Linked DNA regions of Daphnia pulex. The protein of the gene in region 1 interacts with the protein of each later gene in a pairwise test. Links are inferred from orthologs where the notes say so. Each region holds a gene or a part of one and is shown in the gene's direction. Other genes may lie near its edges.

The links.
Region 2: the proteins of armadillo segment polarity protein-like (region 1) and axin-like interact in a two-hybrid assay, tested with the Drosophila melanogaster proteins (2 studies listed by BioGRID). The link is inferred for Daphnia pulex from reciprocal best matches to the Drosophila melanogaster genes arm and Axn.
Region 3: the proteins of armadillo segment polarity protein-like (region 1) and catenin alpha-like interact in binary tests that used the Drosophila melanogaster proteins (3 or more experiments, as listed by UniProt). The link is inferred for Daphnia pulex from reciprocal best matches to the Drosophila melanogaster genes arm and alpha-Cat.

Annotation. Positions count from the first base shown.
Region 1 is NC_060020.1:4,722,842-4,727,036, reverse strand, and holds the start of armadillo segment polarity protein-like, read left to right. Parts: upstream 1-1,395; 5' UTR 1,396-1,552; intron 1,553-1,739; 5' UTR 1,740-1,777; coding exon 1,778-1,811; intron 1,812-1,877; coding exon 1,878-2,017; intron 2,018-2,079; coding exon 2,080-2,200; intron 2,201-2,264; coding exon 2,265-2,452; intron 2,453-2,512; coding exon 2,513-2,671; intron 2,672-2,756; coding exon 2,757-2,911; intron 2,912-2,997; coding exon 2,998-3,299; intron 3,300-3,359; coding exon 3,360-3,508; intron 3,509-3,592; coding exon 3,593-3,802; intron 3,803-3,865; coding exon 3,866-3,998; intron 3,999-4,059; coding exon 4,060-4,181; intron 4,182-4,195. Other genes in the region: cysteine desulfurase, mitochondrial-like, read left to right, coding at 1-146, 259-322. UniProt on the Drosophila melanogaster protein: Isoform neural may associate with CadN and participate in the transmission of developmental information. Can associate with alpha-catenin.
Region 2 is NC_060025.1:2,835,263-2,846,454, forward strand, and holds the start of axin-like, read left to right. Parts: upstream 1-5,001; 5' UTR 5,002-5,152; intron 5,153-6,327; exon of another isoform or gene 6,328-6,549; intron 6,550-6,587; exon of another isoform or gene 6,588-6,810; intron 6,811-7,007; 5' UTR 7,008-7,241; intron 7,242-7,714; 5' UTR 7,715-7,777; coding exon 7,778-7,841; intron 7,842-7,912; coding exon 7,913-8,244; intron 8,245-8,304; coding exon 8,305-8,577; intron 8,578-8,645; coding exon 8,646-8,932; intron 8,933-9,129; coding exon 9,130-9,270; intron 9,271-9,398; coding exon 9,399-9,552; intron 9,553-9,636; coding exon 9,637-9,747; intron 9,748-9,824; coding exon 9,825-9,969; intron 9,970-10,037; coding exon 10,038-10,252; intron 10,253-10,316; coding exon 10,317-10,660; intron 10,661-10,725; coding exon 10,726-10,896; intron 10,897-10,961; coding exon 10,962-11,035; intron 11,036-11,099; coding exon 11,100-11,192. Other genes in the region: uncharacterized protein MCAP_0864-like, read left to right, coding at 272-1,636.
Region 3 is NC_060018.1:3,368,903-3,380,158, reverse strand, and holds catenin alpha-like, read left to right. Parts: upstream 1-1,462; 5' UTR 1,463-1,768; intron 1,769-1,965; exon of another isoform or gene 1,966-1,993; coding exon of another isoform or gene 1,994-2,137; intron 2,138-2,298; 5' UTR 2,299-2,323; coding exon 2,324-2,470; intron 2,471-2,646; coding exon 2,647-3,061; intron 3,062-3,118; coding exon 3,119-3,342; intron 3,343-3,408; coding exon 3,409-3,621; intron 3,622-3,689; coding exon 3,690-3,995; intron 3,996-4,069; coding exon 4,070-5,551; 3' UTR 5,552-5,582; downstream 5,583-11,256. Other genes in the region: malonyl-CoA decarboxylase, mitochondrial-like, read left to right, coding at 1-252, 313-676, 741-778, 845-912, 973-1,105; equilibrative nucleoside transporter 1-like, read left to right, coding at 7,168-7,207, 7,983-8,148, 8,557-8,638, 8,713-8,852, 9,249-9,394, 9,464-9,549, 9,625-9,771, 9,859-10,039 and 2 more. UniProt on the Drosophila melanogaster protein: Associates with the cytoplasmic domain of a variety of cadherins. The association of catenins to cadherins produces a complex which is linked to the actin filament network, and which seems to be of primary importance for cadherins cell-adhesion properties.

The DNA of each region.
Region 1 (4,195 bases):
TCATATGTTTTGCGGGCCATTGGCGCTGAAGAAGATTTGGCGCATTCTTCTATTCGATTTGGAATTGGGCGATTCACCACCGAAGCTGAGGTTGATTACACCGCACAAAAGTGTATTCATCAAGTCACCAAACTTCGGGAAATGAGGTAAATACCGAATTCGAAGAAGTCGAACCGTAACCCGGGTCTGGAATTCCCCGACAAATAACTTCCTTCATTTCTGCTAAAAATGTTAATTATGTTTTTTCTCCACTTTTAGTCCTCTTTGGGAAATGGTCCAAGAAGGGATTGATTTGAAAAGTATCAAATGGACGCAGCACTAATCTTTCCATTCAAAAACAAAACTGAAAATGTTGCTGTATAAATTCAGCCTTGTAAAGAAAATGATTTGGAAATATACACTGAAAATAGTGTTGACCAATAACCTTTAATATCTTTTAAGACGATTGTTGCAGAAAATGGTATCGTAAAGTTACAAGTTACTTTGGACTCTTTAACAGTAAAATGAGCCGGGAAATTTATTAGCTATCGGTACCATTGCGGTGCAATAATAAGTCAATATAAAGTATCGAAGGACTAGATCTAGAATAGATTAAAAAAAAAAAAAAACGGCACATCCTGCAGAGAAATTTGACAGCCTTAATATGTCCGTTTTTTGTTCAATAAACGAGTTGATATTTTTGACAATGCCAAACGACTAAGTTTCCGTCGAAGCTCTTTGGGTTAAAAAAGTTTGAAGTCGTTCCTAGCACACAAAAAAGCAGGTGTGCATGGTAACGAAGACTTTTGATTCCTTTCACACTCTTTGTATGTGATTTATGGGGCACTTTTACTTGACATTATACTTGAAGTCATTACATGAATTTCATTTAAAGTTTGGAAAAGGTGAAGAAGTTAATGTAATCTTAAGCGAGCAAGCGAACTTTTGTTTTTTTCATTGCTGCATATCGGGAAAAAAGTACAAAAACCGAAATTTCATATTGCGGCGATTTATTCTTTAGCCAATCGACAGCAATCCACGGCTCCCTACCCCTGAAATGCCAACCTATTTATTACATAGCTGTATCTAGGTAATTAAAAAAGGAAGAGGTTAAAAACCTGCTTGAGAAGCAATGCACTTTTTTTTATCATTTGTTCAATGGTATTTGTGAGTCATTCCGAACTTGAAACTTTTTTTTATTCCCCTCCCACTCTTTCCGTCTGGACAAACGGGCAGGGGAAACTAGCTATGTATTCCTACGCTAGAAATTTTAAAAAATATTCTAAAATATTATTGGACTTTCCCACAAATATTTGTTTTATTATTTTTTTTTGTTTTGGAATAAAACACATTAAATACGTAATTTCAAGCTATATTTAAATGTTTTTGGTTTTATTGGTTTACCATAGAAAAACAGAAAACGCCAAAAAAATAGTTCCGTTTCAAGCTGATGGCCGCCATCTTTAAGGGCTTTTTAGACGCGTCAGTACTTCAGAACGAAGCAGGTCCTTGTTTTCTGATTGTGGCAGGTGTGGCTCTGTTAATCTCTTGTCACCAAATCGAAATTCCAAAGGTATGTGACCTTAAATTGTTTAAAATTACACTTAAAATGTTTTTCGAAAGCAAACAACAATTTTCTCGACTTTTGAATGGCTTTTTACTGTGTCGAAATCTCAAGTGACAGTCAAACACGCAGTTTACTTCATCATAGTTGCGACACTTTGTTAGCCCTGGTTCTTACCCTCGTTTCTTTATTTAAGGTTATCTCGTCGCAAAGTCGTCGATACACAGCCGCATCATGAGTTATCAGATGCAGGCACAAGGGAGGCCAAGTATGAGCTTTTTTAAATTAAAATTTTTCATTAAATCTATTATAACTCTTTAATTTGTATGTATAGTGTCACATGGGCAATATGTTAGCAATAGCCCTGCTGATCTTCCTATGCCCAGCGTTAAGGAACATACATTGATGTGGCAAGGAGTTGGGCAACCTGGATATGTAGGAGATTCAGGAATCCAAAGTGGGGCAACCACTCAGGTAAATATTGAGTGAATTGTGCGAGTGAAGGTAACCTTTCGAACTAAATGTTTACTTCTTAGGCCCCATCACTCTCTGGAAGAGGTGGTGATGATGATATGGATACTTCTGAAGGAGGAGTCATGCTTAACATGGGTGGATCAAGTGGCTATTCAGCTGGTTATACTCAAGACCAAGTTGAAGGTAAACAATAAAATATTTTTGATTCTTATTGCGGTATATGTTTTAATCAAATACTTTGTTACAGACATGAATGCTCAGTTAAACCAGACTCGCTCCCAGCGTATTCGTGCTGCCATGTTTCCAGAGACACTGGATGAAGGAATGGAAATTCCATCTACTCAGTTTGATACCACACAGCCAACTGCTGTTCAGCGTTTAGCCGAACCGTCGCAAATGTTGAAACATGCCGTTGTTAATTTGATCAACTATCAGGTATTATTGCTGAAATTCAAAATTTTGAACTGCTTAAAGTAATAATATTTGGGTTGGTAGGATGATGCTGATCTAGCTACAAGAGCTATTCCCGAACTGATCAAGTTGTTGAACGATGAAGATCAAGTTGTCGTATCTCATGCTGCCATGATGGTTCACCAGTTGTCCAAGAAGGAAGCGTCCCGCCATGCTATCATGAATAGCCCACAGGCAACCAAAGTTTCTATGATTTTATTATTACTCTGTGTTACACTTCTTTTAAAATTATTTTCCAAGTTCATAATGCATATCCGTTTGATCGTAGATGATTGCGGCTCTCGTTCGAGCACTGTCCAATAGCAATGACCTGGAAACAACCAAAGGTGCCGTTGGTACCCTGCACAACCTATCACATCACCGCCAAGGATTGTTGGCTATTTTTAAATCTGGGGGAATTCCAGCTTTGGTGAAGCTGTTGAGGTATTGTCCCGTCTCATCCTTCATGTGTCCGAACTGACGGCTTTCTTCAAACGTTACTTATTTTTATTTTTTGTCATCTCGAAAAGCTCGCCCGTGGAATCCGTTCTTTTTTATGCTATCACGACGCTGCACAACTTGCTGCTCCATCAAGAAGGCTCAAAAATGGCCGTTCGTTTGGCGGGTGGTTTACAGAAGATGGTTGCTCTCCTTCAGCGCAACAATGTCAAATTCTTGGCAATCGTTACTGATTGTCTTCAAATTCTGGCGTATGGCAATCAAGAATCCAAGTTGATCATTTTAGCTTCACAGGGGCCGATGGAACTTGTTCGAATTCTTCGGTCATATACTTACGAAAAGCTGCTGTGGACCACTTCACGAGTTTTGAAAGGTAATTTATAAAAACCGTAATGTTTAATGTACGTGATTTATTTATAAATTTTTTTCCCAGTGCTGTCGGTCTGTTCTAGCAACAAACCAGCTATTGTTGAAGCTGGAGGTATGCAAGCGTTGGCAATGCACTTGGGCCACCAAAGTCATCGCCTAGTTCAGAACTGTTTATGGACCTGCCGCAATCTTTCCGATGCTGCGACCAAGCAGGTGATTATCTTCTAAAAGAAAAATTATTTTATGTTCTGCTCCTATCTTAAGGACAATGCTTATACCTTTATTTTTCTCTTACAGCAAGAAGGTTTAGAAACCCTGCTTCAAGGACTTGTTCAGTTGTTAGGTTCTAGTGATGTTAACGTAATCACTTGCGCTGCCGGAATTCTCTCTAACTTGACTTGCAACAACCAACGCAACAAGACTGTTGTGTGTCAAGTCGGTGGTATCGAAGCGCTGGTTCGCACCATTATTCATGCTGGCGATCGTGAAGAAATCACCGAACCTGCCGTAATATATCCATCTTTTTAAAATGACAAACGTGTTGGTTCTTACAAAATCCATTAATTACAGATATGTGCTCTGCGTCACATGACATCACGTCACGCTGAAGCTGAAATGGCTCAAAATGCTGTTCGTCTTAGTGGTGGACTGCCCGTCATTGTCCGTTTATTGCAACCCCCCTCTCGTTGGCCACTCATCAAGGGTATGTATCATTATAGCAAGTTTGTCTTTTAAAATGTCTCATAATTACCATTTTTGTTTAGCTCTGATCGGGTTGGTTCGTAATCTGGCTTTATGCCCTGCTAACCACGCTCCGCTGCGAGAACAAGGAGTTATTACTCGTTTGGTGCAGCTGTTGATCCGTGCTTTCCAAGACATCCAACGAGTACGTTTGTTTTA
Region 2 (11,192 bases), on another chromosome or scaffold:
GTTTTAAAATGGAAAAAAAGAGTTGATAGTTATTTTCAATCAACTTCACACTAATTGAATAACATGCGCAAATTTATAAACTATGATTTAAGTTCAGTACGAATGTTAAAAAGAAAAAACCTAATAAGAGGTGAAAGAAAAAGAAGGAAAAAACAGCCCTGCATAAGTAATGATTCCCATGGCAGGTTATATAAAGCCCAAGTCAACGCCAACAGATAATAAGACTGCTTAGTAGTTTTGGTTTACAAAAGTTTTCAGCAGATATTTCGAGATGGGTCTTTTATTGGAAATCGTTGTGATTTGGGTTTGGGTGAAATATTTTACCGAAAAATCTTCTCCTAGTACCAAAAATCAGCATTCATCAGCTGAATACCCAAACAGCGTCGATGTTGAACCGGAAGTTTGTCAAGACACCAGACAGCGGCTCACAGTGGATTCGGAAATGCTAACAACAACCAGCATTCCCGATGAGCAATTCCAAACAGAGGAGAATGGCAAGTTGAAAAGAGACAATGAACGTTTGGCAAATCAAGTTATCCAACTGAAACTTGAACTTTCCACGTTGAGCTCAGAACATGACGAGGTACGTGACGAGCTAATTTCTACCAGGTGTGAACTGTATGCCAAAAATCGAGACATCACCAACTTCGAGAAAACCATCTCGCACCTGAAGAACAACCAATCAGCACTGAATGTCGACGACGTTGATGATTTTAATCCTGCCAACACCAAGTCCGCACTAGCACAGAACAACGTGATACTAGTCCCGGAACAGGAGGATAAGTCGACTCAAACCGTGGATGTGCAACTTCCTACGACGGTCGTTGATAACAGGATTGAGGAACTTGAAGATCAGTACAAAAAGATATGCGCTCATAATACATCTATGCAACGAAAGATGAGAGGGTTCCACGCTGCCCGTAATATTCTTCAAAGCGCAAACGAAAAGCTTGTCCTCCAACTAGACAGCAAAGCAAAAGAACTTGAGGAAGAAAAAGCCTTGTCAAAGAAGAAAATCCAGGAGTTAGAAAGCGACCACCAGGAAAGCGTCGGAAAAATTCGACAATACTACCAAACTTTGCTTAACAACAGAAACTGCAAAAACAATGAACTTGAAGAAATTATCTCAGAGTTGTACTCTATAATTGATGAATGCGAAGAAAACCACCGCACTGAGATGGAAGAAATGGATACGAGGTATTCAAAAGTAATCGATGAACAAAACGAACACTTGATGCAGCTGGAGTCTAGGGTTGCCGAGTTGACACAGAAAAACTGCGAATTGAACGACACTGTGGACGAACTAGAGCTCAGCTCTTACGCGCTACCAGATTACTACAAGATTCTGAACGTGAAAAGGACAGACACCGACGAAAAAATCATGAAGTCCTACAAAGAGAAAATTCTACAAGCCCATCCGGACAAGGTCAATCAGATACAAACAGATGATGTTGAAAAAGCGTTGATGAAGGCAAACCGACTAAGCCAGGCACTTAATCGTGCAAAGGACTTATTAATAGAACCGAGACTTCGGTACCAATACGACAGCTGGTTAGACATGACGGAGATCAAGAAAACAGAGAAGAAAATGTGGGATTATAAAGCGTTTGAAGAACGGAAACGTTACAGGAATTAAAGCCGCCCTTATGTTTAATCTTCGATTTTCTTTGGATGAGTTGCAGTTGATTTGGTTTTTGTTTTTTTGTGTTTTTTTACCGAAGTTAAGTAATGTTAGAAGCTGAATGTCAGTCTTGCGATTGATATTTGTTGATTTGTGATGACGCTCCCTCCTCGTAACAATCCGGAAGGGAATGGTGGGTGAACCTGTCAATGGAGTTGGTGTGTCGCTGTTGTGCGTGGGGACTTCTGAATATACTTTGAACTGCACAAGATGATTTGTCATTGGGAAGTACGAAAGTGCTTACACAATACAACTCCTCTAACAGTCAGAGAAGTAGGTTGTCCTCACCCTACATGTCAGTGTAACATTTGACTACCTTGACAGGGGGTTTAATTACCCTTAAATGAGTCCACCAATTCTTTACGGTAAGTTACGATGGAGACAGCCGAGCAAGTTGACCATTATCGATTGTAGGGCTGGTTCAGTTTCTTTCATTATTAGCTTCGGTTTTTTAATTTTTTTTTCATTCGTTCTTTTTCTCAATAAATCGGGTTCTGTCCCATATATAATCTCAATCGTGTTGTTTGACCTTTTCTTATTCCTCATCATTTATGGTAGTATGTACTTAAATTCGATGGTATGTGCTATTCATAATTTTCTGGGGGGTTTAATATTACCCTTTTTAAATGAGTCTATCACACTTCTTGACCTGTTCTTGACGTGCGTTTACGGTGGAGATGGCTGGCTGTGCAGCTTGGCAGCAGAAGTTGTCAGTTACTTCTCTTGTTTCCTCATCAAGCTTCTGGACACGGGGATTGTACAACTATACAAACACCGCCCATTACCAGTTTGACTGAAGAAGGCTATAGATTTTAAAAAAAGGATATTTCAACGATTTCAATCTGCCATTTTTGATTACATCCTCACTTAAGTTCCTCCCTTGATTTTAAAATTTTTGGTAAACAGTGGCAGATTTAAGGTGTTGCCATATTTTTAAAAATTAACCTGAGAGTCCCAAAGTTAATTTATCACGATATTTCTCTTATGCATAATGACTTGGTCGTGAACGCGGTCTGACCGATGACTTAAGAGACGCGCCATCTAATGTCGCCCACCCTTCCAAAACTAAAGCTGACGGTTAACATTCACACTAGGTACAATGGTACATTTGTGTTTACTTAAACAAAGGCTCCCTGACTTGCGCAAATCTTCTATCTTTGTTTTTATTTATTTTGAAAGAAATTTGAGTGGCGATCATCTTCCCTGTCTCATTGTCACATAAATTATATTTTTAATTTTTTTAAAATAAAATATTGTGAGGACAGCGCCATTTTATCGAATGGTGGAAGGGACAGTTTCGTCTAGGACATATGTAGAATCACTATCGGGAAATTGATTCACCAAAGAGGTGACGTCTTTTATTTGCGGAAAGAAATCCGGTCCAACGAACATTATATTATTTGTACAAGATTCCATTTCTGTATTTCAAAATCTTGAACCGTGATCTTAGCCGGGTTCTGATGCGTAAAACACGGTAAAAAGTTTTCATATGAGAAAAAGATAAAGAAAGGTTAAATTTCGTCACTTCACAAAGATATTATAGATATTCGGTTATACCGGTTCGATGTCAAATCGAAACATTGGTCAACAGCAGCTACTGCGAAACAAATGTTCTTTCACCTTTAGCATACTATATACACACGTTTATCTAATGTCACGAAATAGATTTGTCTACCTGTCTTGCTCAAAACGGTCGGTAACATCATACGGGTCTGTCTCACTAACAAAGTAATCACTATAGTATACCTCAATCGGAACAAATACATAACGATGAATGAATTGAGCAAGCTCATAATTATCGCCTTGAAACACTTTGCGTGATTCCACCCCCTTTGTGTGTAATACGATTTCCCGCAAAGAAAATCATATAATCTATTCAAACTGATAATGAGATTTGGCTGCACCTGCGTGCACCCATCAGGAGAAAGCCCGAAAACTCATTGCTCAAAATTCATTCATAATATACTACTCATCCGCAATAGTTATTGATCCGGAACTGGTCAATAATTCAAAGGTCTTGCGCGGGGGACAAATAGCAAAGTCCGTATTATTTCGCAACATATGTTTTCCGATCAATGTGTGTCGATTCAGCCGATCTAAGCGTTTTTTTTTTATTTATTATAATTTTTCCATATCGTGTGACGTAAGCAAAGGTTTTCAAAACCGAGTCCAAAGTTGGACCGCTAGACGTCCTCCTAGTTATCCTTGTGTACGTACTTCATGGCCAAAGGCTTTAGTGAAGATTTCAAAGTGTCGATGATTTATTATAAAAGGCGGCAGATATCGTAAAAGTGTTTCACTCTTGAACCCACACGAAGCTACAGGCGATTAAAAGATTTGGAATCTGTTTGAAAAAAGAAAGGGATAAACAAAAAAATTGTTTTTCAAAAGGGAAAAATCTTCATTTCAATGTGACTTGGCAGTTTTACGGGGCAGGATTTGATGACTTGATGTACACATCTACCGTTATATTACGGTGTTTGAAGAAGAAGTAAATAATACTATATCCTCTCTCGTCATTTAAACCATTCGAAACTTAATCTGGAGAGAGTGTCAATCAAAATGAAATCAATTCTCTCTTGAGCTCTTAAGATTGCGTAGATTTATTCTTGTGTGTGACTCATATATCAAGACATGGACGACATTTATAGGCCGGAATTAAACGCGAATCAATCCATCTTTTATCGCCAGTAATCTCGATGACTCAAATTCTTTATTTTTTCCCTAATGAAAGTCGATGATAAAATCTGGCGTTGCTAGCGCATTAATGAACATAAAAGACCCCCTCTTTTTCTTATAAAATAATAAATTCCAAATAATAATAATAATAATAATAATAATACTCGTTGTTTGTATACAACGGATGCACTATATATCCATGGCGCATCAGTATTAATGACTAGCGCCGCCAAGATGTCGCGTTCTTTTCTTTCATTTAAGATTTTCTTATCTTGGAGTAGCGCGGCTCTTTTTCTCTTTCCTCTTTACCCCAAAAGTTAAAAAAGAAACCGCCGCGCTCGCGCGCCAGTGTGTAATCTGATTTCCCCGTGTCTGTATGTGTGTGTGTGTATGTGTGTAGGAGAGATAATTCCCAATGAAGCTGCTGCTGCACAGTTAGACTGCCCAGGGTCCGCTGAGTGATCATCATCATCGTGCGAGACAAATGAGTGCGACCAATAGACCAAACCGCCGCCGCCGCCACTTTTTAAAATTTTGAGCGCAGATAAAAGCCTCAAAATGTGGCAAGACCTTTAACTCGCGGTATAAATATCAGATCCATCTTTATTTTTTTTCCTACCCGAATGACACAGATATCTGGTGGGGGTATAAGAAAGGAGTTGGTCGGCGAGGTGTTTAGACGTGTCCGCGGTGAAGTGCAATTGTTGTTGTTGTTGTTCATCCATCATCTTTTGGTCCAACGGTGGAACTAATTTGCCGACTTCAGCAGCAGCAGCTTCGATTTGATTCCAGGTAGGTAGATATATTTTGAGAACATCCATCTTTTATTATAATATACTATATAAGATGCAATTGAGTCGGATGCAAATTGATCCGGGACATCCATCAACTTGGCTGTCGGCGGAAGTGGCCTCCTCCTCCTCCTTTTGGGCGGCCGCCGCCGTTTGATAATTTCGCCGCGCGGCAGCAGACAACAATTCCCACCATCCTATCCTAATAATAATAAGAAAAAGAGCTGATCTATATTTACGATGCTGCGGCATTTTGTTGGCTTGAATCCATCTGCTGCTGGTCGCGTAATCGACCAAGAGTCACTTTACCTTGACACGTCGTCGGCAATGGAATTTCGTTTTTTTTTCCCCGGACAACACATTCTCTCCAGCATTTTGAAGAAAGAGATAGATGACATCAACATCTCGAACCCCGCAAGCCAGCATGCTGCTGGTTAAAAGCCTTTTTTTTTATTTTTCTATTTTTTAACTTGAAATATACTCAAAAAAGAGCCGCGGGTCAATAGAAGAAAGGCCGCCGCCGCCGCCACCGCCGCCTTCCTTTTTTTAACACATAGTCTTGATTATCGCGCGGCTTGTTTTTTCTTCTTGGCCCGACGTGAAGACCTTGAGTGTGTGGTGGCTACCGCCGAAGAAGAATACCCTCTCTAGTCCTATGAAAATGTATGTAACCACCATTAAGGGCAATCATCAGAGTAGGTACAAGACCGACATGATGTCTTGATGGCACACAACGAATCCAGGTGAGGGCAAAACGCCAGGAGGCGTAGATCGACCTGGCTGGATTGATCTAGCTTTTAACTTTGACGTGATATTATATATACAACTCAATCGCTTTTTAGAAAATATATATATAAATACAGCAGAGGCGACATTTCCACAGAAGGAAGGAATTTGAGTTACATGAACCCGCTCCAAGGCTTCCCCCCTTTTCTTCTTTTTTGGGTGTTATTTGTTCGGTACACTTTGATGCCCTTTCATGGAAGCATTATGCAGGCAACACTCGAGATGTATGCATAAGATTATTGCCAATGTAAAAAAAAGTAAAGATCATTAGGCGATTTTTGTGAAAGAATGTCGGCACCTGCAAAGTCATGGCGAAAAGCTGAAGAAAAAGAAAGAAAGAATAAAGGAACTTGTGAGGAAGAAGAATGTCTTGGCGAATCGATTTCTAGCCAACTATCGATATATAGACATCGGGTGTACGTTTCTCGATACGATATAGGGGGAATGGGAACTGAGTTGTTTGGAGTTGAGCAGAAGCCGTCCGTCTTTTTTTCGAGTTTCATTTATTTCATTTTTTTGTGTTTTCTGTTTCTTTCCCTGAGTTGTGGCCCGTTGTTGACACGACGGCCGAAATTAATCTGAAAAAATTCGAGTGAAAATTCGATGGAAAAGGTAAATTAAGAGGAGAAACAGAAATCTGACAGAGTGATGCCCCTAGGTTATGCCCCTACTGCATACACATCTGAAAAAGTGACAATGGGCAAGCGATGGGTTTACCTAGACTCGCGTGCCCAGTGATTATTTGCAATCTAGGCAACTCCATTTACCACTCAGACTTATTGAATGTGATGGAAAATGAAATGCAAGTCTTGACTACGGGGAGGCATCACTCTTTTGTCAGGATTGTGAGCAGAGTCTGTATTGATCGACCTGGTGAGAGCTTTTGTAGTGAGTGGGGAGAACTCGGAGAGCAATTTCACTCTTCTCTCCCTTCTCATTTGTAATCCAGGGGCTCTCATCCAGTTTTTTCCAGCTGTCAAATATTGTGAACATTTGAGTAGTGGAAAACACAATAGCTTCTGCTTATGGTTAACAAACTGGTCGATAACTCTTGTACTCTTGTATTACAGGATTTCATCCAGAACCCGTGACAACAATTGGACCACTCATGTGAAGATATCGGGCCTCATTAAGGACTGAAGAGATCGACCCAATAGTTGCAACCCCCACAGACCGTCCAATTATGTTGATGCAGTAGTGATTCGTCGCAGTGTGCCTTATTCATAGCGTGCCTCATAGAAGAAACCAACTCCTCCTTCGCTTCACCCCTCTTATTTCACCAGTCTGGAACTAGATGCTGCCTGGTAAGCAACCTCCGTTTTTTCCATCTCTATTGTAGTCCATTTTTTCCTATTGTTATCTTGCACTCACCAAAAAATGAAAAATCTCCCTACTCATTGTTACGTTGTCAGATTATATTTCGCGCTCCAACGATTCCAATCAATGCTTACCCACCAAAAACTTGCAGTTATTTCTTTTTTTGCTTTCTGATGGTGAGGAGGGGGGCTAGAAGAGGAGGGGGGGGCTGGTGGGCGGAAGAGTGGGTCTTCCAAAGCCGGATATGGGATCTGGGAACGAATTTCTCTGGATGGATTCTCTACACACAGTTGCTGTGGCAGCAGAGTTTAGTTTATTTTGTGAAATTGCCAACTTCGGTTCAGTAGAAGAGTCCAATGTTGATGTTTTTGCTCTAACCAGTGACATCAAGTTGTGATTCGAGTTTCTGGCCATGTTAAAATGTGTGCTAACCATTTCGTTGCATCTCTTTCGTGTCCAGGTGATGCTGCTCCTGTTTTATTTATCGTCCGTTGACTACAACGAACTTGTACAGTGTTAAGTGATGAATGGAGGTGGATCTGTGATTCGTTTTTCGGAATCTGCTCCTCGACCCCCTGTCTTCCCAGGTATGATCCAACTGGTCGCCTTTGTGTGTGCTTATTACATTCATTCTAATGTTGTTGCGTTTTTAATTCAGGTGAAGAAAATGTGCCGTCAAGTCAGGTGAAGATGGATCCATGGGCTTCACGGTTCGGAAGGCGGGGCCCGTCGCATCCTTCGACGCTGTCGCCCTCCAAAGGTTCATCACCCGTCCTGACGCCTCGCAGACATGGCCAGTCGATGGACGAGAACGACTTGGCTCGCCGCTACGAACCGGCTGAAGGATCGGCCTCCACGTCTCCACCCTTGGTCGAAACGCCGCCCTATTTGCGATGGGCTGAAAATCTTCATTTCCTCCTGACCGATCCCGACGGCGTCGAACTCTTTGAAAAATATCTCGAACAGGAAAATTGTTCTCATTTACTCAAAGTATGTCCCCATCAACTGCAATTTCTTTTTCGTATTTTTCACTCATTTTTTGTTTTGCAGTTTTGGTTTGCCTGCGAAGGCCTCAAACGAAACTGGGCAGAAGATCCCGAAAAAGCTGTCCAAATCATCCAAGTCATTTACAAAAAGTACATCCGGCTCAAAAGGGTCAATGTGTCGGAACTGAATCGGCGTGAGATTAACGACCGAGTGGCCAACAAAGCTACCCTTGACGCGCATATCTTTGACGAAGCGCAAAAGGATGTCGAAGATCTTATCCGCAGCTCAGTTTACGTCAACTTCCTAAATTCGGACGTCTATTTATCTTACATTCAAGTAAAGAGTCGATCACTTTCATCGCTTTGACATCTATCTCATTTTACGTCCTCTTATAAATTATCTAGTCTATGCAAAATGGCATCCCGGATTCGCCTCGAAGCGGCCGGAGTCAAGGAGGAGGTTCAGACATCACCGCCAAATCTTCCGTCGCCCCTGATCTCGCCGGAACGGGCGCTTCAGATGATCGAGGACCTCACCTAGGGCCATTGCCTACTTTGCACGAAGATTCTGAATTCTCTTATCCTGCCGTCGAGCTCAACAAGCCAATCCCACTGACGCATGACGCTCTCATGGCCACCAAGAATGTCCGGATGAACGTCGAATCCCGACCAGTAGGCGGCCTCTACCCAAGGTGAGTCATCGTTATAGAATGTCTTTGAAAAATTGCATGATCAATTTCTTTCTTTCTCATTTTTTATTTTTTTTTCAAACTTTTGCCTGAATTTTTATTTAATTGGAATGCCGTTATGATTCTTATTTCAATTCACTTATTATTTCGTTTTTTTTTTTCGGTTTCCGTTTTTTTCTTTACGTTTATTTACGGGGTAGTAGTCGAGTGCCCCACAACCCATATCACTCCGTGCACACAACCAGCTATTACGCGCCGTACAATCCCGTTTCACGCCAGGATTCCGAGATATCCTCTGATGCTCATACGGACGACACTCGCTCACTGACCGATGGTTCTGTGTAAGAATTTCGAATGAATGTTTCTTTATTTTTAGTTATATTTTTTAAATGTTTTAGAGCCTGCAAACAATTTTATTTCAGTAATTATTCGTTCAACATTAACTTGTAACAAACGTGTCGTTTTATAGCGATGGTTCTGTCCTGTTTTACCCGGCCAAGCCTAACCGGCACCAACTGCGCAAAGCTCGGCAAAAGATTTCAAACGACTGTATGAGAAATCGTGATCCGTCTATAAACCAGCCATTCATCCCGCGAACTCAGCGTCTTCCACCCAAAGAACAGGTTATACACCTCGACATTCATCACGACTGAATCAGGTTTTTTTTTTTAAATAAAAAGGGAATGTTTTTTCTTGTTTGGTCGCAGCAGGTGATGCCCAAGACGCCGCAAGAATTCGCCGCTGAGCTCATCCAAAAGTTGGAAGCCGTTAAACGAGATCGGGAATCTGAAGAAAAGTTGCTCCGGATTGTCGCTGAGGTTGGTGGCATTTTCCCACGTTTTCTCTTTAAACAGCCAAAGTGCATTTTAAGCAAAAACTATTTGTTTTCATACAGAGGGATAGTGAAGCCAGTGGATTGGATGAGCCATGCCCGCAAGGCGCCCGCTTCAAACCCGGATCTGAATGCTCAGCTCGTGTTTTGGCAGAAGCACTGTCCAAAATCGCTTCTTCAAATGAAGCCGACACACAATCGATTCTCGGTAATGTGCACGATTTGATCTGTTGTGAAGTTCTATCTTAATCGAGTGGAATATTATTATTTTTACAGATAACCACGTCCAAAGAATCTGGGCAGATCAGACGCCATTGCGATCACCCGGTGCACCTTCACCTCGGCCGTGGTCTCCAGAGAACCGGCGTCGATTGCCACCGAATTCTGTGGCTATTCCAACGAAAACCAGTGGGCCACCAATAATGAGCTCTTCTGCATATGGACCCGGCTATTTCCAACGCTCCTCAGCCCATCATCGGCGAAAAGACAAGGTAAATGTCTATTCAATTCTAATTCTTCGTGAACTGGGACTTTACGGAATATTTTAATTTTCAGGATATCGAAAAGGGTTCGACCTACTCAGCAGACTCGGGTGCGATTCTCGATCAAGGTGACAGCGGAAGAGAAAATCGAGCTCACTTTTCCAAGTCGCAATCAATTCCTGATACGCGCCGGATTGGTATGACGTCCTCTCTTGGGGGAGCTAGCAGTGCCATCGGCAGCAAGAAATCAGAATACGATCGTGTCCATGACAGTGGTCTTTGCCTCCATACGGACCCTAATCCTGGAACACTAATGGCACCGCCTTCACAGCCACCCAAGGAAAAAGTGCTCCACTGGATCAGCACCAATGACAAATGGCAAGAAGCTGATAGAGATCCGTCTTCCAGCAAGCACAGGTAATTGTTTAATCAACTCAGGCCTAATCGGGTGGATCTCTAACAATTTCTTTTTTGATGGTTAGGTCGCGTCCACCGAGTTCGACTTCACCCATTTCTTCCAGAAGGAGTCGGCAACACAAGTCCGCTTACGGGACTTCGAGGTCGGAATCGCTGGAACGAGCTGGAGCTTCCGCCGGTCATTTAACGCAAAGTGAAGACGATATGGCTAGAAATCGTCCTCCAACCAAGCCAAAGTAAGTTTAATAAAACGAAAACTAAATTCACTTATTTGATTCATTTATTGATCCAATCATTCTAGACCTAGCGTATCACAGCCAACTTCCACTCACTCGACAACGATGAAGAAACCAGCAAGTAGTGGAGCTCTCTCAGGTAAACAAGGAACAATTCAGCAGCGTTGGTTGTTCGCCCCCACTCATTCCATTTTGATTCACAGGTGAAGGAAGCTCAGCCCCAACAGAATGCACTGTTGTGACGTTCACTTTTGGAGATGAGCCCGTGCCCTACCGCAGCCGGATACCTGGACGAA
Region 3 (11,256 bases), on another chromosome or scaffold:
CGCCTCGGCCCTTATCGGCGATGTTTCATACTTTTACATCCTGCTTTACCAAAGAAACCATTGGCCATTTTGCACGTCGCATTGACAAACGAGATATCCAACAACATCCATACAATTATTACGCGGAATTTGAGCCAATCATTTGATTCCGAGACAGATGGTTCCAGGTTGGCAGATATTGATGTTGAAGATATAGATCGTGTAAACACAGCAATATTTTACAGCATCAGCTCAACTCAAAAAGGCCTCGCAGTAAGCAGCTAGAGGTTATTTTTATCCCCTTCTGTCAGTAGCTAACTTTTTGTTTTCTAGGGGATAGATTTAGGTCAATCTTTGATAAAAAGAGCTCTTCGGGAGTTACAAACGGAAATTCCATCTCTACAGCAACATTCAACGCTTTCTCCTATACCGGGCTTCCGGTCTTGGCTGCTTCAGCAGCTTCGGGAAACTGAACGTGGGCGAAAAACAGTTTTAACTGATTTTAATTGGGGTACGGCTCTTCAGTTAATTAACAGTACCAAAGAAAATCCGCTCGGGATGCTCCGCAGTTTGCTAGTGGATAGTTCATGGATGAGGGAAGAAGCGAAAGCTAAATTGATGGAAAATCCCTTAATGCGTCTCTGTGCTCATTATCTGTTTGTGGAGAAGAGGCGAGGTTTCGCATTGGACAGTGTTGGTAAGTCTTTAGTTTTGCCTTCAATGTTTGCTAACCAATTAAGTTATCGTTTGTTCTCTTCTAGCTAATTTTCATTTGCGGAATGGAGCGATGATGTGGAGAGTAAGTTATTTTAAATGTCATTTTTAATTTGCTGGATTCTTAATGGAAATTTTTCTTGGTTTTCAGCTGAATTGGGCATCCGACCTTTCACCAAGAGGCATAAAAAATTCATTTGGGCTGATGATGAACTATAGGTATTATAGATTTAATTTTTCTGATTTAGAATATTTTTATCTTAAACTTTTTTAATTTAGGTATTATGTGGATGCTTGTGAAAAATATAGTCAACTGTATGCTGAAAAACAGCATATCGAGTCTTCAGAGCAAATTCGTCTCCTTTCGGGAGTTTCCAACTCGTCAGCAGCTAGCCAAATTTCTCATTTGTGATTTGTGAATTCAATCATGTACTTCTTTATAAAAATGCTTTGTTACAAAAGCTAAAAGCTGTTTAAACGTTCGATTATTGAGTCTGTTATATGTTCTCGGTAATTCGCAGTTGTTTGAAATCAATATTTCCACTTTTTAAAAGTCTCTCAATTCTCAAATATGTACATATTATTATTATCGTGTCTGAATATATCCTCAACTTGTCCTGCATTTTTTCATTACTACATATTTCTAAATATTTTTTTTTATTTTTTTATTTTTTCATTTTTTCATTTTTATTTAAAGACTTGCCAGTCGCCAGATGGACACGTTTATCTGATTGAATTATTAACACATGCAGCCGCCAGCAGGTGGAGTCAGACTTTTTGCTGCCACCTGGTGGCTGGGACCGCATATTGTGAATGCCGTTTTATACTCTCGCCTTCTTTACTATTTCCTTGCAGTGATAACGCTTATGTTGGGAGTGGCTTCGGAAATTTTCGTTAGACCGGAACTGACATCATTTCTCGACCCACGGGAAAAACTGTCGTGACACAGCTTCCGCCCGTTATACGTAGCCATTATTAGTGGAGTTGTAAGCCGCTGTAGTTTTCTTGTTACAGTCTGACAAGTACTTCGGTTGTGGTTCAAAACATTCAGTCACCTTTGAAAGCTAAGATAAAGGTAAACACTCAAAAGTTTCTAAAGATGTATAACATGTTTATTAGTTTGTAAGGAGTGGTTATGCCATGCTATGACTCATAAAGTATTTCAGAAGATGCTATTTTAAAACAATTTTCAAGTATTCATTCATCATTCAAAATTCCACAGATCTAATCTTGGTTTTATGTGTTGAAAATTAAATCTTTGTGTAAGTATAGTACATTATACAATATATCTGGATTTGAGATGCCTGTCATGCCAGTTCCGGGTTTGGACTACATGGGAATCCCCAACCAGGCCCATGGGCCAACAGCTATGAAATGGGATCCCAAAAATCTTGAAATTCGTACCACTTCTGTGGAACGAACATTGGAACCATTAGTGATTCAGGTAGCACTACACTTTAAAAGCCTCTGGATGTGTAGAGGAGAGTCATTAGGTCGTGCTGCATCTTTTTTGTTTCTTTGGCATGATGTGTTCATAACTAAGTTGTTGTATAAATTGCATGCATAGTTTGAATTGTGTTTTTGTTTTGTTTATTTTTTCTTTAGTTCCTTATGTTCCAGTAGAAAGTCTATGCTGTTGAATACTTCAAAAGTTTCTGCAATGCAAAATAATTCAAATAGCCAAGACTTGGCTCCCATTACTCTGAAATGGGATCCCAAAAACTTGGAGATCAAGACGAAATCGGTGGAACGTACATTGGAGCCATTGGTTATCCAGGTAAAGAGTTTGCATTGCCTCAGGGAAAACAGTTACTGATTGAAGGAAACTATTTGAAATTCTTCTTTGCTTCCTTATATTTAATTTGTGTGTTTGCACGATTTGCTTCTCTTTGTACCTTTTATAAAATTCCTGTAATCTATTTTATATATATATTTATTTCATTACTTATCTAGGTTACGACTCTAGTAAACACAAAAGGTTCTTCAAAGAAAAAGAAAGGCCGTTCGAAAAGAGCTCATGTTCTCGTAGCGGCTGTAGAGAAAGCAACAGGCAACTTTATCGAACGCGGTGAACAGATTGCTTATGAAAATCCAGACATCCAGCAAGAAATGTTGGCTGCAGTTGACGAAGTACGAAAAACAGGCGAGACCATGAGTGTTGCCTCACGCGAGTTCGCCGAAGACCCATGTTCGTCCCTAAAGCGCGGAAACATGGTTCGGGCAGCACGTAACCTGTTATCTGCTGTGACTCGTCTTCTAATCCTTGCGGATATGGTGGATGTTCATCGTCTACTTAAATCCCTTCGAGTAGTTGAAGACGATCTTGAGCGTTTGCGTGGAGCCTCAAGCCAAGCTGAACTAGAAGAAGGTATATTTGGCTAAATCCTCGTTTGAAAAAGAATTGCATTAAAATCTTTTGTTGTAGGCATGCGTATGTTTGGCAGAAATGCTTCTGAATTGATGGCACAAGCTGCTCGTCGTCAACAAGAACTTAAAGATCCAGCTTTGAGAGATGATTTGGCTGCTGCTCGAGCTGTGCTCAAGAAGCATTCAATGATGCTGCTAACGGCTTCAAAGGCTTTTGTTCGTCACCCTGAACTAGCAGCAGCTAAAGCTAACAGGGACTATGTTTTAAAACAAGTTTGCCAGGTAAATATAATTTTTTAGATGGTTACTCATAAAAATTGGTTTTCAGGATTCTTTTTATTATCAAAGGCTGTTAGCGCAATTTCCGACGTGGCACAAGGAAAGAGTACTGTCGGAAACCCGGCCGTTCAAATGCCCTATGATGGGCCTGGAGAACTGGCTGCAGCTCTCGACGATTTTGATGAACGAATAATTATGGACCCATTGGCATACAGCGAAATCCGTACGCGCCCATCACTGGAAGAAAGACTTGAAAGTATAATCAGTGGTGCTGCACTAATGGTATGGAAGGCTGAATGTCTTTGAAGTGCACTACCTTCAATCGAAATTCTTTTATCGAATCTATCCAGGCGGACTCTTCCTGTACTCGTGACGATCGTCGTGAGCGTATCGTGGCCGAATGCAATGCAGTTCGCCAAGCACTTCAAGACCTTCTGAGCGAATACATGTCTAACATGGGCAAAAAGGATCGCAGCGAAGGACTGGATCGTGCCCTTGATCATATGTGTCGTAAGACTCGTGATCTACGCCGTCAATTGCGTAAGGCAGTGGTTGACCATGTCTCAGATTCGTTCCTGGAGACCAATGTGCCACTTTTGGTGTTGATCGAAGCAGCTAAATCGGGCAATGAGAAGGAAGTAGAGGAATATTCACAGGTATGTTTTCGTAAAATTGTGGTGTTCATTTGTTCCGGATTTGCACAAATCAACTTTTTATTCGCTTAACGTAGGTGTTTCTCGAGCATGCCAACAAATTGGTTGAGGTAGCTAATTTAGCTTGTTCGATGTCGGGCAACGAAGATGGTGTCAAAATGGTCCGCTATGCCGCCTCCCAGATAGAGGCTCTCTGCCCACAAGTTATCAATGCAGCACGAATTCTGGCAGCTCGTCCGCGCTCTCGCGTTGCACAAGAAAATATGGACATTTTCCGCGATGCATGGGAGAACCAAGTTCGCATTCTGACAGATGCCGTTGACGATATCACAACCATCGATGACTTTTTGGCCGTCTCTGAAAATCATATTCTTGAAGACGTCAACAAATGCGTCCTCGCCCTCCAGGAAGGCGACCCTGATTCGCTGGACAGAACTGCAGGCGCCATTCGTGGCAGAGCTTCCCGTGTGGCCAATGTTGTCACCGCTGAAATGGATAATTACGAACCTGGCATTTATACCGAGCGTGTTCTTGAAGCTGTCAAAGTTCTACGCGATCAAGTAATGCCTAACTTCGCACAAAAAGTTGAAATGGCTGTCGACGCCTTGTCGAACAATCCACCTCGTGATGTCGATGAAAACGAATTCATTGACGCCTCTCGTTTGGTTTACGATGGTGTTCGTGAAGTCCGTCGCGCCGTTCTTATGAACCGCGCCGACGAAGAACTTGATCCTGAAGAAGTTGAATTGGATGAACAGTACACTATTGATACCCGCAGCAAATCGAGTAACCACACGCTCGATTACATGGTGGACGAATATCCAGATATCAGTGGCATCACCACTGCACGTGAGGCTATGCGTAAACTGAAGGAAGAAGACAAGGCTAAAATCGCCCAGCAAGTCGAGTACTTCCGCACAGAAAAGTTGAAGTTTGATCGAGAAGTATCGAAATGGGACGACTCCGGAAACGATATTATCGTCCTAGCCAAACATATGTGCATGATTATGATGGAGATGACGGATTTCACTCGCGGTCGTGGACCCCTTAAAACTACAATGGATGTAATTAACGCGGCCAAGAAAATTTCAGAAGCTGGAACCAAATTAGATAAATTCGCCCGTCTGATTGCCGACCAATGCCCTGAATCATCGACCAAGCAAGATTTGCTTGCATATTTGCAACGTATTGCTCTTTACTGCCATCAGTTGAACATCACCTCTAAGGTTAAGGCTGATGTACAAAACATTAGTGGAGAGCTGATTGTTTCGGGTCTGGACAGTGCTACTTCCCTCATCCAGGCAGCTAAAAACCTCATGAACGCCGTCGTCTTGACGGTGAAAGCCTCTTACGTGGCTTCTACGAAGTATACCAGCCGCCAGACAACCGTCGTATCGCCTATCGTCGTTTGGAAGATGAAGGCACCCGAAAAGAAGCCACTAGTTCGCCGCGAGAAGCCCGAAGAGGTTAGGGCCAAAGTTCGTCGCGCGTCTCAGAAGAAGCACATCGCCCCTATTAAAGTCCTAAGCGAATTCCAAAGTCCTGCCGAAAGCGTTTAAAAGAAAGAAACCAGCAAGCTTGTGGTCGAATTTATGAAGAAAAACAACGCCAGCAAACGTCCAATTCTCTTTTTAGAGTAACGGGGCTATCTATCAGAAGCGAGTTGGTACAGTGGCTTATTTTTTTGTAATTCGGTGAATCAGCATTGACCCACGACTTTCCATTTTCAGCCTATGTTTATTTTCCCTTCGAATGAGCGATCGTCTTTCTTCGAATGTGTCATTTACGACGAAGCGCTAAAAATCTATCATAATATTATCATTTCGTCTTCCATTCCTAATTAGTTATAGGAATGGAGGACTTTCAAATCTTTTAGATGAAAGTCCTATCTCTAAAATGTCAAAATCATGGCTCAATGCTTATGAAAAAAGCCAAAGCTAGTGCGGCCGTTTTCTTCTATTCATATTAAGGAATGCGCATTTCATTTCTTACAATCCTGTGCGTCTCCACCCCTTATTTTGACTTAACGAGAACAATTTCTGTATTATTTTTTTCGGATTTAAGAAGTAATTGATTTGGACAGCTTCGAAATTAGTAATAGTAAAATAGATCCCTTCCCATCATTTTGTAAGCGGCCGACATTCAATCCACTACAGAGAGACTTAATTATATCCATTCCTTCGAAATTACAATTTACAAACCAAACCTTATGCGATAAGTTCCCTTAAGTAACCGTTCAAACAATTTTTATTATTTTTTGAGCGTTTCCTTTATAATTATCTCCTTTTTCTCAATCCTGACATCATATCAATACGATTAAAAACCACTTTTTTTTTCATTCGATGTGTTGTTTTGATATCGGTGTTCTAATTTCATACACGGTTTAAAGAAAAAATTATCCGTTTCAATCGGATGTTTTTTTTTTAGTTTACCTTTTTTGGTCTGACGGTCGAACATGTCATTTCTCAACGCAATTGCAACCTAGATTGGCCGATTTCATGCATCGCTATCATGTTTATCGCTGGCTCTTCAATTTTTGTTTTGTACCGTCAAGATATTGAACACCCGGGACTTGCTGACTGGCTATCATTCCGACACTCGGTAAAGTGATATGGACCGTCATCTAGCAGCAATGCGATCTCTTTTTTAATATATATTGTTCCTTTGAAAATAATTGAACTATCGACTACTAAGACTTTCAAAATTATTTCTTAAAGCGTGTGTTGAGTGAGATTGCTTCTTTTGTAACACGAGGCGTGGGGCGGAACAGCAGAGGAATTTTTACTCTCATGTAAATCAAATAAATTGAAGTAACATTATCTGGGGCAGAAAGGGATTATTGAACTTCCGCTAGAGGTCCTCTGCTAGGCGGTTCACACGCTCATTCAAAGGCCTGGCGGCATTTGTAGGTACACGCCCACTTTGAGTCCCTCACCCACAGCGCTGCATGTCTGCCTCCCTTTCTTTTCAGTTGCAACCCAAGCATGGACCGGGCAATAAGCCAGTTTTACAGTACTCCATGCAAAGATCTCATTTCGTACTGGTTTCTGTGACTTTCGAATCACTTGAATAACACGTTCAATCGATTGTTTGACTTGACACCCAATTGTGAACCTTTGATCTGCTCCTACCTACTAACAGTGTCTGCTTTGCAATCGACAGTTGAGCCAGCAAAATGGGAAAGACTAACGTGAACGACGATGCTGTCAATAACGGTGAGCTACAAGCATTTAATCATTTAGATTGTCGAGTCTCACAAAAACAAAATTCTGCCCAAAGGTGTGCTCCTTTCTCCCATTGTTTTTATCCCAACTTCCACAAGACGTAAAAGTAACAGACCCTTCTTTGGTTGCCCCTCCAGCCTTACTATTTGGTACGTGTGTATGTATACACATGATACAGAACGCCGAACAGCTTTCGATTCAGCTCAAAAGAAGCTGTAAATGTGCTAAATATTGTTTTCCTTTCTATTATCTTTAAACATGTTCCCCCTCTTTGAAAGGATATCCTGTAGGCAATAGTTTTGAAGACATAATTTAGTTTACTTGGAGATTATCTGCTGCATCTTGATTATTCGATACGACGAGTCCCCAATATTTCGACTGGGGTGGCAGAATATCCACACGAAGCTCTATGGGCGGTCATGTGATGTATATAAGGCATAGTCCTGTATTTTTAAACTGTCTGGGCCTAAACAGGGACTGTCCCCGCCACCCAGTTTCGGCAACTCAATCTTTCGTGGTGTTTTTTTTTTTCATGTTTCTTTTCTCGATTTGTTTGTTTGTGAAAGAGTTGTTGACTCGAGTGGATGTATACACACAAACACAAAATTGAAATTACTATAAGGAACAGTCAATGATGTTTTCCACTTGTGTGAATACTTGGGTGACTGCCGCCTTCAATGATAAATGTATTACAGTTTGATAGATACTGCTCAATCATAGACGCACTCGAACTTATTTCCTTATTAAACGAATTATTTTATGGCAGATACAATGGCAGCAGAAAAACGTCCTTTTCTGGAGAGCGGACCTGAATCGGTCAAGTTGACGCCCAGCTGGGAGGACCGGAATCTACCGGCTGCAGAGCTGAATTTGCGAGGACTAGAATCTGATCTGGATAAAGCCGCTTTGGACATGGACCCACCACCCGATCGGTAATTACTGATGCACATTCTTAACAGCGTTTCCTGAGGGTAATCGGTTGAGACCACACGCACTAGCTTCGATTAGACAACCGAACACTTATTCGCCTAAATTCTCACAATTGCTTCTTTTAAAGATTCATCCGCTTATTCACGTTTCCATTATTTCCGCCCTTTATTGCTCAGCTGTGATTGTATACCGCAGCAACTGTCAAGATATGCTCTAGGATGACACCAGTCAACGTTAGTTCATTCCCAACGTCTCACAATGTCAAGATAGGAAAAAGGAAATATCCTTTTCAAGTGTGTCTTATAACACAGTAGGATTACGATCAAGGGCGTGGGCAGTACGGTCCGACGATTGAAAAACCATTAAATTAATATCATTTTTCTATTTTTCTATTTATGTTTGTATTTCAGATTGAATTTGGTGTATCTCACTTTTATACTCCACGGAATTGGCACATTAATGCCATGGAATATGTTTATTACTGCGAAGGACGTAAGTTTTGCAATTAATTCATATTGGCAAGAAGGGTTTCATTGACTAACCTTCATTTCTAAAAATCCACACAGTACTTTGTCGTTCACAAACTTGGACCAGAGAATACCGGGCAAAGTCTTGCTTATGCTGCCAACTTTCTTCAATTCCTTGGCTTCGCTTCCCAGGTTCCCAACGTCATCTTCAACTGGCTCAACATCTTCATCCAGATAGGGTATAAAAGCTTATTAATTTTCTCGTTTCTTTTTAAAGTTGTTTTGTTCGCTGGTGCAACTGGTGGATGATAGACAAGTGAAGAGATATAACTTCAAGGTCAAGGCTTTTCATAGTTAATCGAATCATCCATCACAGGAATCTCGTACAGTGTTTTCGCTGCTAAGTTAATTTTTTTTTTTAAAGAAGATCAAGTTTCAAATAGTTTGTCCAAGAGATGAATCGCTTTATAAATCATGTACGCCCCTTCAGTAAATAACAAATGTTTTCTGGTTGGATCGAAAGTTATAATAGTGGTTAAGATTCAGATTAAGAATACATTTTATTTATTGATTTATATATATTTTTTAAAATATAAATTTCATCTTTTATTTATTATATTTTTATTTTTTTACAGCGGAAGTTTAAGTACCCGTATTATTGGCGGTATTCTCGTTGAAGTAGCTGTTTTCGTTTTAACAGTTGTTTTGGCTATGTTGGAATCATCTCAATGGCCAGGAGCATTTTTCTGGACTACGATGGGTTCAGTGGTCATATTAAACAGTAAGTTTTTTTTTTTTTATTAAAAGTCATGTGGTGTCAAGGATTTAAAAAAAAGTTTGGCGTCAACAGTGGCTGGTGGAATCTATCAAAATACCATTTACGGAATGAGCGCCAAGCTTCCTTTCAAATATACAGGAGCGGTCGTCCTTGGCTCGGTAAGTTCGTTTTAAGAAGTAAAGTAAAAAATTCGTATTCAAATTTGAAATTTCTATTCTTTCACTCCATATTAGAATATCAGTGGGACTTTCACGGCCGTTATAAACGTCATTTCGTTAGCTCTGGCCCCTAATGCGCGTACCTCGGCCATATACTATTTCATCGCTGCCCTCTTCATTCTGTTGGCCTGTTTCGACTCTTTCTTCGCCTTGCCACTCAACGTACGCATTTATTATTCATTCTACATATGTTAACCTTGAACGCATTTGATGCGAAGATTTTGTTTATTTTTCCCCCGTTTGCTACAGAGATTCTACCGTTATAATGAACAACGCATTAAGCGACAAGAACAAGAAAAGAGCGTCGCTTTAGGTGGTATTAAAGCCCGTCCACCTTATTGGATGATTTTCAAGAAATGTTTTCCGCAATGTCTAAACGTTTTCCTCGTCTTTTTCGTCACACTCTCCATCTTTCCCGCCGTTTACTCCGGTTGGTGTTTTTATAAAATTTTAACAAAGTTTTCCTCCTGTAATTTTAAAATTTATATTATCAGATGTCAAGATGGTTGACGAGAACTTCATTATTTCACAAAAATATTTTGTAGCCGTATGCTGTTTTCTCAGCTTTAATTTCTTTGCAATGGTTGGGAATATGTTGCCTGGACTTTACTCTTGGGTACGTAAACGATTTGGCAAAACTATTAATGGGACACACAAGAGTTTGTCTTACATAATCCTTCTTTGATAATTGTAGCCGGGACCTCGCTGGTTATGGATTCCAGTCGTGTTGCGAGTCTTGTTCATCCCATTCTTCTTATTGTGCAATTATCAACCATTGGGCGTCACGCGAGCATTGCCCGTTCTTATCGACAACGATTGGGCTTACTGGGTCGGTGGCATCTTTTTGGGTGTAACTAGCGGATACTACTCTTCACTAGCCATGATGTATTGCCCACGAACGGTGGAACCTGAATACGCGGCTACAGCTGGCATGTTTGGAGCTGCTTGTCTGATCACTGGCATTTTTGGCGGAATCAACTTCAGTTTGATAATGCCGATCCTTGTGGAATCGATTTCTTTCTAATCGATTGGATTTGTTTTTTTTTTTTTTTAAATAAGGGATGGGCACGAGAGCTTCAAGATTTCTGTAGCTCATTAGCTTACTCATAGTGTTGCTTTAAATTTTTGTTCAGTTTCATGTTCTTAGTCGTTCTTTAGTTTACCCTTACATACGACTCTTTATTTCTCTTTGGGAAGAGTTGTGGGGACAAGTGGGAATGCGCAGTCAAAATGTTCAGTGCAATCTTTTGAACTACTGTGCAAACTAGTCCAGTTAACTCGCATTTTTCCTGTGACGATTGATTTTTCTCGTTTCCTTGAACTAATTTATTGTTTGCTTTTTCGGGCTCAAGGTAAACTGGTGCGTTCACGGCATTCGAGGGAAGTGAAGCCACTGCACTCTTAATTTTTTTTTCTCCCACCCATTTCTCCTTACGTTTGCACTGCTTCTTCCTGCAGTCGTACTAGATCTTCAAAAGTGCAAAATCAATTAGTGATTTTGACCACGGGTTTCGTGCCAGCTGCTAATAATAACAGTCGCCCGATCATGAAATTTTTTTTTGTGTATCTTTCAGTCACCATACGCAGTGGACTTGTGTGTATTTTTTTTTACCCACTTTTTTTTTATAAATGTTCTATGTCCTTATA